Linked DNA regions of Saccharomyces cerevisiae S288C. Changing the gene in region 1 together with any one later gene gives a genetic interaction. Each region holds a gene or a part of one and is shown on either strand. Other genes may lie near its edges.

Evidence for each region. A genetic interaction does not mean that the proteins touch.
Region 2: mutations in ATG22 (region 1) and PEX31 together harm fitness more than expected from each alone (negative genetic interaction), as found in Saccharomyces cerevisiae (2 studies listed by BioGRID).

What each region holds. Positions count from the first base shown.
Region 1 is NC_001135.5:52,235-60,721, reverse strand, and holds ATG22 (Atg22p), read left to right. Parts: upstream 1-4,194; coding exon 4,195-5,781; downstream 5,782-8,487. Other genes in the region: GFD2 (Gfd2p), read right to left, coding at 1-1,696; SRO9 (Sro9p), read left to right, coding at 2,044-3,348; glucose-induced degradation complex subunit GID7, read right to left, coding at 5,840-8,077; GLK1 (glucokinase), read right to left, coding at 8,382-8,487. UniProt on the Saccharomyces cerevisiae protein: Vacuolar effluxer which mediate the efflux of leucine and other amino acids resulting from autophagic degradation. The release of autophagic amino acids allows the maintenance of protein synthesis and viability during nitrogen starvation.
Region 2 is NC_001139.9:500,054-506,933, forward strand, and holds PEX31 (peroxisome biogenesis protein), read left to right. Parts: upstream 1-2,884; coding exon 2,885-4,273; downstream 4,274-6,880. Other genes in the region: cullin CUL3, read left to right, coding at 79-2,313; transcription factor IIF subunit TFG2, read right to left, coding at 4,604-5,806; mRNA splicing protein PRP18, read left to right, coding at 6,017-6,772.

The DNA.
Region 1 (8,487 bases):
GTGTCGGAAGAGTGCTTGTGAAGGCGTCTTTAGCAGTTCCGAAATACGTTAACCCACCGAATTCCGTTTGGCAGACTCTTTCCTTCCTACTGCTCTTGACGCCCTTGCGGTACGTCCGATTTTTGACTGCCTCCTCGATGGAGATGGCATACGACATGGGCACCACTTTAGGCTCTCGTACGTCTCGTTCTCCCCAAACTTTTACTTGGCCCATTACTTTAAGAACATCGTCCATGCCGCTTATTTTCCTGAAATTAACATCGCAAAACTTCATGAACAAATGCAGGGTATAGTAGGCATCGTTACCGGCATTGTGTAGAAACGCATGCGGTATCTCGAACAACCGCAGAATCTTGCCCAGACTGCTGCCCTTTTCGCCATACGATTTCCTGTAAAACTGCTCAGTGTCCAAGATGAACACGTCTAGATCACCGGGAGTTTCAGCCAAAAGCAGCGTATGGTCCAGATGGCCTTCATACCCTCTGCCAGGGAATTTGACACCAATAGTCTCCAGCCACTTAAGATCCCCGCTCACGTGATGACCAACAAATGCCCTTGACCATGTCTTGTCTTCTTCGGTCACCGGGACCAAGTAATAGTTTATTAGTGATTGAATGAAATGCACGCACTCTTTCAAGCTCAAAACATAGCTTTCTCCCAATAAGTAGCAATCCTTGTAGTCACAGACCCATTTTTGGTTTCTAAGTTCCAGGGACTCCTCGATAATTAGGTGGTAATTCTTTGTAATTGGAACCATTGACGGCACCATATTTTCCCTGGGGTCATAAATTGAAATCCCAATTTCGGTGATTACGTTCTGGTTTGTTTCGAAAGCCTCTATATCAAGACAAAAGCATATTGCTCTCTGAGAGGCCATCAGCCTGATGCATTTCTCCAGATAAGCAAATTCATTCGAGCGTGAATGTGCTTCCACCATGGGCCAGAACGTCTTCCTCACGCTGTTTTTCTCGTCAGCCAGTAGTTTCTGTTCTGTCTCTAGGAGCTTGATGGTACCATTCATTCCTAACATTTTCTTCTGAATGGCTTCGAACCAAGCGGTGTCGCTCATTCCTTTGGGCTGCGGACAGATACAGTTGGCTCGGTCCTCTTTGGTCAATGGAGACAGCCGCTGTGATCTTTTGGACCTGGGTGGTACGATCGTGTCGCTTAATCTTTTCAAAAACCGGCGTTCTTCCACGAGTTTTTCCAGTTTTGCATGCACATCACCATGTACCATATGCCATTCACTGTCCACCTGCGCCAGTTTGGCTTCCAATTGCGCCCTGGATTGTCCATAGGAGGCATCAAACTTCTGCCTCATCTCCGCCACATATGCATCGATCATGGGCTTCCTTAGTTGGTCCAATTCCTTAGAAAACGCGGTCTTTCTCAACTGTACATAGTAATCTATCTGGTCCAGCCAATTGCACTTAGCACGGTCCCAGGGCGTATTCAATTGGGTCCTGGCATCCAGAAACGCCTCCACACAGCCCGCGATCTTGCCGCTTCCTGTTCGGTCCTTCACTAATCCTCTGACAGAGAGCGTCCCATTACTTAGTTTTGTTGCCAAAGCACCGGTATTACCGCTTCTGGAACGATAACGGGGGCCTGCGCCGTTATTATTCCTCCTCTCCCAATGGACGCTTTTATCGCTACCGTTATTACTGTTATCTCTCACCATTTTTTGAACCTGCATGTGGATCTGGACTCTCGAGCAAGACCCAAGTTCTCATTGCCTCCTTTCCTTCTTCCCTTCTTATATGTTGTCTTGTTGAACCTCAAAACACTAGCGGATAATACGGATTTTGAGGGATGCTCATCGCAAATTTTTCAGAAATGGTGCACGGATGTACCCACGCAATGAAAAATTTTTTTCACTTCTGGTAGGTCAAGAACAAAGAAAGAAAAGTACAAGTGTAAACATTTCTTAACATCTTTTTCGGTTTTATGAAGATCTTTTGGGATCCTAGATCGGTAATAGAACATCAGGATTACTCTGGACCTGCTAACGTGTTTCATCTTCTTTTCACTTCTCTGCCCACGATGTCTGCTGAAACCGCCGCCGCAAACACTGCTACTGCCCCAGTCCCAGAAGTGCAAGAACAAGAGAGCTCCAAGAGCAAGCAAGTCAACTTGACGCCGGCACCATTGCCCACATCTTCCCCATGGAAACTTGCTCCTACTGAGATCCCTGTTTCTACTATCTCAATAGAAGACTTGGATGCCACAAGAAAGAAGAAGAACAGAACACCCACTCCGAAATCATCGACTGCTACCAAGTGGGTTCCCATCAAGGCCTCCATTACCGTCTCTGGCACCAAAAGATCCGGTTCCAAGAATGGTGCAAGTAATGGCAACAGCAACAAGAGCAAAAACAACAAAACTGCAGCATCGTCGACATCGTCGAGTAATGCTAACAGGAAAAAGAAGCATCACCAACATAATGCTAAGAAGCAACAACAAATGAAGAAAGATGGCTTTGAATCGGCAGTAGGTGAGGAAGATTCAAAAGACGCTACCTCTCAAGAAAATGGTCAATCTACACAACAGCAACAACCACCTCACCACCGTAATCATCACCACAGTCATCACCATAACAGCAATGGTCCTCAAAGGAGAAAGTTCCACAACAGTAATAACGCCGGTATGCCTCAGAACCAAGGCTTCCCACCACAGTTTAAACCTTACCAAGGACGCAACGCTCGTAATAACAACAACAACCGCTCTAAATACCACAACCACTTCCATCACAACCAACAACATCCTCAACAACCTATGGTCAAATTACAGCAACAGTTTTATCCAGTCCAACCAGTGTTAATGGCCATCAACAACATTGCTAGACAAATTGAATACTATTTCAGCGAAGAAAACTTGACCGTCGACAATTACTTAAGGTCCAAACTCTCCAAGGATGGTTTTGCTCCATTGTCTTTAATCTCTAAGTTTTACAGAGTTGTTAACATGTCCTTCGGAGGTGACACTAACCTGATTTTAGCCGCATTGAGAGAAATTGTCGCTAACGAAGCCGCTACCGTCAATGTTGCAGAAGGTACTTTGGCCGCCAAGGAAGGTGATAACGTTACCGGTGAAGCCAAAGAACCATCTCCATTGGATAAGTACTTCGTTCGTTCCAAGAGCTGGTCAAACTGGTTACCAGAAACTTTTGAAACTGAAATTAATATTGAAAAAGAACTGGTCGGCGATGCATTGGACCAATTCATGATATCCCTACCACCTGTTCCTCAACAAGAAGAGGAATCATCCACTGAACTCGCTTCTCAAGAACAAGAAACCAAAGAAGACTCTGCGCCGGTTGCTGCCGGTGAATCCGAGTCTTCCTTATAAAGGCCTCTCACACTTGCAAAATAAAAAATGGATTCGTTCATTGCATTTTACACAAAAAACCATAAAAAATTGAAAAACCTAATAATTAAAAAAATTAAAAGTTAATCATCCTCCAGCAAAGCTGTTTTTTTTTTGTTTTTTTTTTTTTTTTTGTTTTTTTATCCATTTTTTTCATTTGTTCCATCAGTTTAATACGAAAGAGAAAATAAAAATAAAAACTTTGAACAATTTTCATGTTTTGAATTCATTGTACATTATCATCATAAGCAATAAGATACAAATATTTATGTTTTTTTTTTTTTGTTTTTTTTTTTTTTTAAGATATAAAAATACTAGCCTCTTCTCACTTCGTTTTCTCTCTGTCTAAGTGGCTACCATCATGAGATATGATATTCTTTCTTCTCCCTGCGCAATTCTTAAACCACCTGCTTTTTTTATTCAATTTTTTGCTAATTTAATAATTGGGAAGAAGATATGAAAAATGCCTATTTTACTCTAAGCAATTCATATGTAAAAAATTTTATGTATAGTTTTTTTTTTCTCTTTTGTGCTGTCAAATTCCTTTTTATTGTCATCTAAGACCATGCTTTAGCTTCTGTCATGTATAATGCAACGTGTCTTAGATTATTAATTGTTGTATTGTGCGGCATTGATAGCGCCGCTCAACAATTTTAGGAAATTGCTAAAATTAATTCCTTAAAACGGTATTTTCCTAAACGAAAATACCTCAGCTATTGAAAGATGCGTAGTGTAAACAAAAGGAAAGATTTCAAACTGTACCTATATTACCACGGTTTTTGCCCTTATAAGCAATAGTTTGCTCATAACATATTCTCTACATTAGATATGAGCTATGGAACTATAAATGATATGAATGAATCGGTAACGAACTATCGAATAAAAAAAGCCCAAAACAATATCAAGGGATGGTACGCTTACTCATTTTCTAGCGAACCATTTGTCGTTTCTGCGGTTTCAACGTATATTCCCTTACTACTGCAGCAATTTGCGAGTATAAATGGTGTAAAAGTTCACGATCACTCCATACCCTGCCTGTCAGAAACGGGTAGTGATTCAGATAAGTGTGTTCTTGGTTTGTTCAACAATCGGATCTTCGTAGATACTTCAAGTTTTGCATTATATGTCTTTTCCCTTAGCGTTTTATTCCAAACTATAATAGTCATTTCCGTTTCAGGGATAGTAGATCTCTGGGGGAGCGTTAAATTCAAAGGCAGAATTCTGGTTTGGTTTGGTATTGTGGGCGCATTGTCGACTGTTGCGATTTCAAAATTGAATGATACCCAGATTTATTCTCTGGCTGGGCTTTATATAGTGGCCAATGGTTGTTTTGGCGTTATCAATGTTGTTGGGAATTCTCTTCTGCCCATTTTTGTCAAGGATTCTTTGAAATGTCAAAGTCAAGGAGCTTATGAACCTGATAAGGTAGACTCGTTAACTACTGTTATTAGCGGTAGAGGTGCATCTTTAGGTTATTCAAGTGCCCTCATTGTTCAGATTGTATCTATGTTCTTAGTCGCATCTAAAAAGGGCAGTAAGCAGGATGTTCAAGTGGCTGTTCTTTTCGTTGGGATTTGGTGGTTTGTGTGGCAACTGCCCATGATCTGGTTGATTGACGATGTGACAATACCGATAAGAGTTGACGATTCTACATTAGCATCCGCCCGCAGTCCGTATCCCGGTGAGCAAGACGCCTTGGGTCAACTAAACTGGAAGAATTACCTTTCATATGGTTGGGTTTCGCTTTTCGAATCGTTTAAACATGCCAGACTATTGAAAGATGTGATGATTTTTCTTATTGCGTGGTTTATTATTAGTGATTCCATTACAACTATAAATTCTACAGCGGTTTTGTTCTCCAAGGCAGAACTGCACATGAGTACCCTCAATTTAATCATGATAAGTGTTTTGACCGTTGTAAATGCAATGCTGGGTGCCTTTATGATTCCACAATTTCTTGCCACAAAGTTTCGGTGGACTTCTAGTCAAACTTTGATGTACATTATCATTTGGGCAAGTTTCATACCATTTTATGGTATTCTTGGATTTTTCTTCAATGCGTTCGGTTTAAAGCATAAGTTTGAAATGTTCTTATTGGCCATTTGGTATGGATTATCACTAGGTGGCCTGTCCGCGGTTTCAAGATCAGTTTTCAGTTTGATTGTACCTCCAGGAAAAGAATCCACGTTTTTTAGTATGTTCAGTATCACAGATAAGGGGTCGTCCATCCTGGGACCCTTCCTTGTTGGACTGCTTACCGATAAAACGCATAATATTCGCTATTCGTTTTATTTCTTCTTTTTGCTTTTGATGCTATCATTGCCTGTGCTAAACTGTTTGGATGTCAAGAGAGGTAGAAGAGAGGCTGAAGAACTCAGTCAAGTTTTACCTGAAAGTGAAAGAAGGTTGGATTAGTTCTTTTTTTTTTTTTGTTACATAAAACTTTGCTTACGTATATATATAAGGTGGAGTATTAATTTCTTGAAATTTTCCAGATTTTTATCTTACCGTCATCACCGCCAGAAGCAAACATTTCTTTATCTGCAGGGTTTGATGCAACTACGTTACAATTTTTCCCCATGGGTTTTGTGGAATTACTCATTACCGTGGAATGACCGGATAAAACAGATACTAGGTTACCTCTAATTCTATCCCAAATGTAAATTTTACCATCTTCTGATCCGCTCATGACAAGCTTATTACCGTAGGCGAAGCAAGATCTGATAATAAAGTGCTGTTGCTTCTGTCCAAAGTACTTTTGTATGAGAATATTTTCTTTATAGTCCCACATTTGTAATTCGTTATCTTGAAGGCTAACTAATACCAAATGTTGAGACTCGGATATTTGTTGCCTATGGAAGCCTTGATGCGTGGTATTTAGCGGTAATGAGATACAAGTCATGTTTTTGCCCACGTCCAATCTTGCGATCCTTGGAATCAGAAAGTTTTTGGGATCCACTGTTTGCTTAGATAGCTCCTCTTTGGAGGGGAACCCACTGAAATCGTAGACATCTATAACGCCCTGGTGGGTCATTAAAAGCACGTATTTATCGTCATAGCTGATTTTCACGTCGTGCACACGTGGAAAGGTTTCGTCGTCCTCCACATATTGCCAGTTACCATTGCTACTTGTTGGTTTGTAAAGGACTTTTGCAGGATCGATTGATTTTCTCCCAGAGATGTTTTCATCGTGGCCCAACGCGATACAAGTCCTGCCTTTTAAGCTAAAAAGTGACTCTTTCGTGGTGAGTGAGTGTACAATAGCTTCTCTGTCGGGCGATCCAACCACCATCCAGCCCGCACGTTCCGCAGTGTGGAAGGCATCGCAGCACCATACTCTTGATTGATTAGAATTCGCGTTTGCCGGCCTCGAGGAAGATGATGCTGATGATTCGGTATCATCTGGGTACGTGGTGGTGTCCAGTTTAAACGAGTCCATGGGCGAGAGCCTGGTAGAAGGGTATAGTAGGAACGAGTCTGTGGCAGACGCATCGGGCAGGGAGGTGGCATTCATGTCGTAAATGGTAACATCTTCGCTGAAAGGGCAAGCAACCAGATACCGGCTATCAGGAGAAAACATGAGGTACAATACGGATTGTGACAAGCTCACGCAAGTCTTATAAATTTTGAAGTCTTGTTCCACATCATAAACAGTAATGAAGTAGCCTCTTGAAGACTCGGAAGTCGCAGAAGCCAAATACTTGCCATTGGGCGAAAATGTCAAAAACCAAATTTCGTCTGTGGTGTCTTGGATAGTCTTCCATTCTTGAAAGGTCACAGTCAGATCGTGTGAGAAGTTATCCTGCAAAAGGTTGATCCGGTGGGGTGGAGAGGAGAAAGAGGCGTCATCATCCGGATCGATGATATTAAAAATGTCTTGTGATTGTTGATACTTGATGGCCTGTTTCAAGAGATGCAAGAGACGACCCTTGGGAACGAGTTCGTTCGGATCGATATATTTGGAGATGGCGTCAATCAGATGGTCTCGCTCGAGGTTCAACTGCGCGGTTAGTTTTGGGTTGGTCAGGTACGTCGACAGTTCTCTCAAGGTCGTTTCCGGATTGAAGATGTTTTCTTCATTTAGGAACTGATCGTTAGACACCAGCAGGGAATCCCATATCTCGATGAAGTTTTTGAGGATTTTGCGCAAATACAGGACGGGCAGTGCAGTGTGAGGGCCCTTGTGAGAGGCGGAATTTGTGACTGGATGGAAGAATTCGAGGAATATTTGTCTATTAACTAGAATCATGATCTCTACGTAATTTCTGAGCGTGGCGATCTCTGCGTCCGAACAAGTAGATGAATTTACAGAGCTCATCAGCTGTTGCAGGTATTGCAGTTGCAGGAGCATGTGGTCGAAAAGTGAAGTCGTGGCGGGCGTCGGCGTGGGAATGAGCAGCCTTTGAAGCCATTCGGACCTTAGCGGAGAGCTATGGGCAAGGGGCAGCGAGCAAACAATCTGCCAATTAATAAGATGGAATTGGCCGGTCTTGATGAGTTTGAAGAAAGTCTGGATGTGGTTAGACTCATTTTGATATCCGCCGCTCTCTAGCAGTAACTGGTTAGCGGCGGAGTCGTAGCCCAGCTCCTTTAGAGTATGTATCAGTAATTTAGTGAGCTGTTTCTTGTCAAAACAACCAACGGAAGAGGGCGAGGCTGTTTCCTCCGTGTCATTGTTCAACACGTATGCGATCTTATTAGTGTGTGACATTTTATTAGTTGAAGTAGTACGCCCCCTTGGAAGTGTTTTTCATATTTGACTTCCAAAAATGATAAAGGAAGACCTAGCAAGGCATTTATTGTTCTTCATTTTCCCTTAAAAACCAAAGGCCCGTTTCCGATGATATTGTTCATTAATGTGAGAAAATCATACATACATACATACGTTCTTATACGGTATTGTATAAGAATGTATGTATATACACTGAAAATATACATATATATATATATATATAAAGGAGAGAAGATGGTAAGTACGGTGGGATACGTACACAAACCAAAAAAATGTAAAAAGATCATGCTACAAGCGCACACAAGGCGGCACCCACTCCGGAACCATCCTTGGCAATCTTCAAGTGCACCTTCCTCTCACCCTCGGCACCCAAGGGTGACAAGGCTAAG
Region 2 (6,880 bases), on another chromosome or scaffold:
GAGTGTGCGTATTCTAATCTGATTCATATAAAGTATACTCTAAACGGGCTAACTCAAATCTGAAATTAGGGCTACTATATGATAACTAATAAGAAAATAAAGATAAGTGTCCCAGAAAAACTCGGTTTGTCAGAAGAATCTTTTGAGGAATCCTGGGAAACAGTTAAATATGCCATTGATCATATATACAGCGATGACATGGCCGACCTTTCCTTCGAACAAGTGTACAAGACCATTTATACTATCGTTTTAAATAAAAAGGGGCCAATACTTTATAACAGATTGAAAGATTATTTAATCCAAAAATTAGCGCTTTTGAGGGAAACGATAGTCAAGGACAATACTCATGATTATGAGTTTCTTGGAACTATGGCACGGTTATGGGAGGTGCAATGCCATTGTTTTAAAATAACGGGAGACTTAATGATGTATATGGACAAAGTTTATTGCAAACCAAATAGATGCATGGAGGTATACGACATGTGCCTCGATCTTTTCCGAATCGAAATATTGCAAAAATGCTCATCTTCTCTCATCTCAGCACTGATATCTGATATAGAAAGGATTCGTAATTTAGGATCTGTCGACTCCGAACATACTAGTTTGTGGAAAGTACTAATAGGAATGATGGAGACATTACATGACAATAGAGATAGTTTTTTCTTAACCGATTTTGAGCCGGTTTTGATTAGCGCGACAGAAGAATACTACAATAAAGCTATTGATATTGAATTATTAACGCCAATTGAGAGCCTGGAAAAGATTAGGAAGTTAAGGCAGTTTGAAAGTATGCTAGACTCCTCTTTTCTAAATGTGGATTCTCATAATAAGTTGAAGACTGTATTAGAAAATGTCCTTATATGGGGAAAGTTGAGTGATATTATTGAAGATCTAACGCACGAAGCAATGGTAATTTCAAATGGAAAGCTACTCCAAGAAATTTATGACTTGTCAAGCGAGGAAAAATATCGCGTTACTGTCATTGAATCTATTAAATCTTACATCAATAAAAATGCCATAAATATTCCTTTTAATGAAGGTAACCGCAAAAAAGGGCAGAATGCGATTACTTGGTCTTCGGAAATTGTAGAGCTATATCGCAGTCAACACTCGTTTTTGGAAAGTATTGATTTTGGTTCTGTTCGTCTTAATAATTTGACCGGGGATGTATCTAATGCAATACTTGGCGATGTTTTCTCAATGTATTTCTCTAAAGAAGGAGCATTACCATCTGAGTATCTTTCTACCTACGTGGACCATTGTATGAAACGAACCAAGGAAAAAGATGCTGAAATAGTGAAGATCAAGCAAGATTTGCTTGATAGTACCAAATTAATCGGACTCCTAACTGAGAAGGATATATTTGAAAAGATTTACAAAAAACAACTCTCCAGAAGATTACTGCAGCAGAGGTCTTTAGTGGAAATTGAAAAATGGATGGTGCAAATGATAAAGAAGGTTCTAGGAACTTTTTTTACCTCAAAATTGGAGATAATGCTGCGAGATATATCTTTATCCTCTGAAATGTATCAAGCATTCCAACACTCAACAATCAACAGCATAGAATATTTGAGTTTTGCACCACAAGTTTTGACGAGAACGAGCTGGCCCTTTCAGAGTACTAATCCAATTGATGAAGGTATTTCACTACCTCCTAGAATGTCACAAATTTTAGCTGGCTTTGAGGGCTATTACAGCTTAAAATACAAAGAAAGAGTGCTAAAGTGGGCTCATCATCTAAGTGTAATTGAAATTGGCTGCCAATTTAATAGCGGTTACTACGAAATAAGTTTTTCTGTTTACGCTGGAGTGATTTTCCTTCTATTTGAAGATTATGAAGAATTAACGTTGGGGGAAATATATGAACTAACTCATATTCCCATAGATGACGTTAAGTCTCTTGTAATGTCAATGTCGACAATACCCAGATGTAAGATTTTGAAAAAATCATCCAGTTCAGGAAATATGAAATTTTCAGTTAATTATTTCTTTTCTTCTCCAAACAGGAAAGTGAAAGTGCCGGTTATTGCATGCCCTCTACCATCTCAGAAATCAGATAATTTGGCAACCGCAAGTTCCGTGGACACTTATGATAATGAAATTGTTATGGAGCTTAGTGCTATTATTGTTCGTATCATGAAAACAGAAGGTAAGCTAAGCCATCAGCAATTACTTGAAAGAACTACGAAACGGACACAGTCTCGGCTCAGTCTTACACCGAGCATTTTGAAACGAAGCATTCAGCTTTTAATAGAGAAAGAATACATCCAGAGAAACGCAGATGACCCCTCTTATTACCATTACCTTTCCTAATTGCTTATAATGAAAATCACAGGTATAAGGTTTGCAGAATGCCAACAGTATATATAGATGGCAGTTCCTATCCGGCTGCCAGAGCGAACAATATTAAGAGGATATGCGTCGATACTAATTGAATGTTCATCCTGCATTCCTTAGTGAAACTTTCAAAATATATAATAACATAGTTATGGTAGACTATATATCCCAGTCAAACTTGAATGTAATGTGGAGTGGGTAATCGATATCTCTTGAAGTTTATTATGCCTCATTATATTTTTATAAAAAACTTCTAGGAATTTGTTGAGTCAAATAATTTCTTTCTTAATCATTAAGTAAGTTAAAGTTACGAGCCTTTCAGACCTGCGTAGCACTGCTTCAAAGGAACTATTATCAATAGCAGCGCCTTGCTCTTTTTTTTTTTTCAGATGCTTAGCGGCCGTATTTCACTTTTCCTGGTAGAAAAATATATGTTGAAATTTACGGTATAAGAGAAGCTCACCAAAATTATTATCAATAAAGCGGCACTTTTAAATTTGGTATTCTTCCCTGGTTGTCAAGCCTTGGTTTCCCTTTATTTGATAGTATGAGCGAAATAAATAATGAAAATCTAGAGCCAACCTCAAGTACAGTAGCTGAGTCTACAGAAAGCAAGAATAAACACATTCGTAGCGCTTTAAGAAAACGAAGAGGTAAATTAAGCGCCCAAACTTATGAGGAAGATCAAGAGGCTATTTTATCATCTCCTTTATTGACTTCAACACCTAAAACAGTCTCCAGGTCATTAGTGAGGTTATACCCATATTTAATTGTTGTGGATAACTTTCTAAGTATCATCACTTGGTCCAATGACAATGTCTCTGCAAACTTGCTTGGAATATTCTTATTTACGGTTTGTGTTCTATATTTTGGATTTATTACAAGGTATTTTGGACATTTAATGATCGTTGGTATAATATGGGTATATCTTTTAATTGACAAGCACGTTCAAGAAACAATGGCATCTTGCCCTTCATTGGATGATATAATACACGTTATGGATAGGGTTTCTATGAAATCTAGCGCTGTGTTATCTCCTATTACGATTTTGAGCGCTCAGGATGTTAGAAGACTGTTATTTACCATTGCCTTCCTATCCCCAGTTTATATTTTTCTAACAGTGTTTGTGCTATCTCCAAACTATTTAATGTTAATAGGGGGTCTGTATGTGCTTACGTACCATTCTAAACTAATCCGAAGAATGAGAAGATACTTGTGGAAATTTCGCGTTGTTAGATTACTTGTATTTTTCATAACAGGATTAGACCTTGGTGGACCAGATAATAATAGGCGCTTGTTTGCTTCTGTCAATAAGAAAATAAGGTCCTTTGTTTGGAATGAGGTAGGGAACACATCTAACACTAAAAAGACTGTACTTTTCAAGGTTGCTCTGTTTGAAAACCAGCGCCGCTGGCTTGGCATCGGATGGACATCAACTATGTTGAGTTATGAGCGCGCATCTTGGACAGATGAATTCCTAAATACTTCTCCAAGCCCAGAAGTGTTTACTTTACCAGAGGAGCAGTCGGGAATGGCTTGGGAATGGCACGATAAAGATTGGATGCTTGACCTAACAAATGATGGGATCATTCAACTTCCTGCTTCTGCTGCTAAGACAAAAGTTAAGCCAGGTGCAGATGAAGGTTTCATATATTATGATAACACCTGGAATAATCCCTCTGCAACGGACACATATAAAAAGTACACAAGAAGAAGGAGGTGGATCAGGACTGCAACAGTAACAACAACGTATGACGATGAGCCCACTGTAGAAAAAGCTACACCGAATTCTCATGCTCTGAAGAGTGAAGAAAATAATAGAGTTAGAAAAAGAAAAGTGTCATTTAGTACAGCAAATGAAGTGCATATCATACCTTCCTCGGACAGTAGCAAATTAATACAAATATCTGATGTTTCAATGTCTCCTTCTCTATAATGAGTGCATGCCCCATATGGACAACAACGTTCACACTGGTCGGTGCAAGGGCACACAGCAATCTCAGAGTTTCTTTCATTGGCTGCATGGAGCACAAATTCAATCTTGTGCTTTAAAGTATCTGCGCGGTTATGGCAAGTTCTCCATCAGTCTCTTATTCCAGCAAGCATTCTTTTACGGAACTTCAATGCATCTAAATACATATGTACAGATAGCCAAAACTAATAGAGACATAATAAATTAAACAAAACTGTAAATTTTAAAAAGAGTATATATAGGGCTCAAGAAACTGCGTAAATATAAAATTAATGAAGAAAATCTGATTGTCAACTAAACGACATCTTCCATTTCTATTTCATCTTCCAAGTCAGCCTCCGCGTCTCCTTGCGCATTGTCTCCAGCGGAACCTGTTTGCTCATCAGCTAGTTCACCTAAGGTTGCCTTTCTCTCCTCCTCTTTCAACTTTTTATACTCTGGCCTTAAAGTGTATTTGAATGCATATGGGCCCTTCTTCACTAGAGTGGCAACTTTATCCAAACACTCCTTTAAATGTGCTTCAGGTTGCCTAGTACGTTCCTTCAACCCCTTCAAGGACCAGTAGTCATACTCATCAAATAACTTGAACAAGTAATCCAAGATTTCCTTCTTTGGCATACGAATAGATTTAATATTGCTCTTGGCCTTCTCACGCCCCACTTTCAAGAAATTCGAGTTGTCTGACCTCATGGACATACCTGTGTGGCTCATCGTAACACCAACGGTTTCATCCAAAGTTGTGATCCTTTCCTTATTATTAAGCTTGACAATATTTCTTCTCTGTTCAACAATCTTGTGATAATTAGGATCATTCATTGATGGCATAACCTGACATTCGTGGCAAACTGTACCCACAATGGCGGTTTTTTTGGGAATCGTCTTCACATATGGTATATATCTATCTCTACCATCCCTATCTGTCATAACTCTGTGATTAAACTTTTTTCTATTATTTCTACGTTTTTGCTGCTGCTGCTTCTTCTTAAGTTCCTCTTCACGTTCTTGCTTCTTCAGGTAAGCTTGCCTTTGCTTTTCAGGATCTGCTTCCAACTCCTTTTTACGTTGTTGATATTTCTTTAAATTTTGTTCTGTGAAAACATATTCATTTTCTACTACTTTCTTTGTAAGTTCTAAATCATATTCGTGCGGTATAGAATCGTTATCATTTTCATTCAATAGAAGTGTGATTTTACTCCCATCCTTGTTTATCCTAATTTTACCCAGTTCTTGGCCATGCAAGTTGTTTCTGTCCCTCCATTTCTCTGCTAGAAACATGGGCAATCTAACTAACCAGACTTGTCTATTACTACGTTCCAAGTCCAAATCTAAGGATTCTTCATAAACTTTGGTTTCATTATTCTCAATATCATTACCGTCAAAAACTTCCTCCTCTTGCGAAAGATACTCATCACCGGAAATGTTACCTGATTTCTCCTTCGCGACAGAGTTCGTGGAATTATTAGAAAGTGCTGGTGCCCCTGCTGAACCACTGCTCATGGTGTTAAGTTGGTCTTCTATTTTACTCTTAATATTGCGTTATGCGTTGAAGCCAACAGCATATGTCTTATTCTTCTAATTTCAAGCCTGATAATTTATTCATTTCGCGCAAGGGAAGATGAAAAAGTTAAGAAGAGAATCGACCTTTGGAAAGGGCCCCAATGGAAAGAACTTCAATGTTTTTTCCTCTACAAGTAATAAGAGCATAAAATGGACCTAGATCTAGCCAGTATCTTAAAAGGTGAAATTTCTAAGAAGAAGAAAGAGCTGGCCAACTCTAAAGGTGTTCAGCCACCATGCACTGAGAAATTCCAGCCACATGAATCCGCAAACATAGACGAAACACCGCGACAGGTAGAACAAGAAAGTACAGATGAAGAAAACCTGTCAGACAATCAGAGTGACGATATTAGGACCACCATTAGCAAATTAGAAAATCGGCCAGAAAGGATACAAGAAGCGATAGCTCAAGACAAAACCATCTCTGTAATCATTGATCCATCACAAATTGGTTCTACTGAAGGAAAACCTCTTTTGTCAATGAAATGTAATTTATATATTCACGAAATATTATCTCGTTGGAAGGCGTCTTTGGAAGCTTATCATCCGGAGCTGTTCTTAGACACTAAAAAAGCACTCTTTCCACTCCTACTGCAACTACGAAGGAACCAGCTTGCCCCGGATTTACTTATTTCCCTTGCGACCGTTCTCTATCATTTACAACAACCTAAAGAAATAAATTTAGCCGTTCAGTCCTATATGAAACTCAGTATCGGCAATGTGGCCTGGCCTATTGGTGTTACTAGCGTAGGCATTCATGCTCGTAGTGCACATTCGAAAATTCAAGGAGGCCGGAATGCTGCTAACATAATGATTGATGAAAGAACGCGATTATGGATTACCAGTATTAAAAGATTAATAACTTTTGAAGAATGGTATACCAGCAACCACGATAGCTTAGCCTAATTGTTGAACTATTGTTTTCGTTATCGCGTGGCACGATATCATGCGGCCAAAATAAGAAGCAAGAATGCAGATGTTGATAGCCTTTGTTCAATTTTCCAGAGACAAATG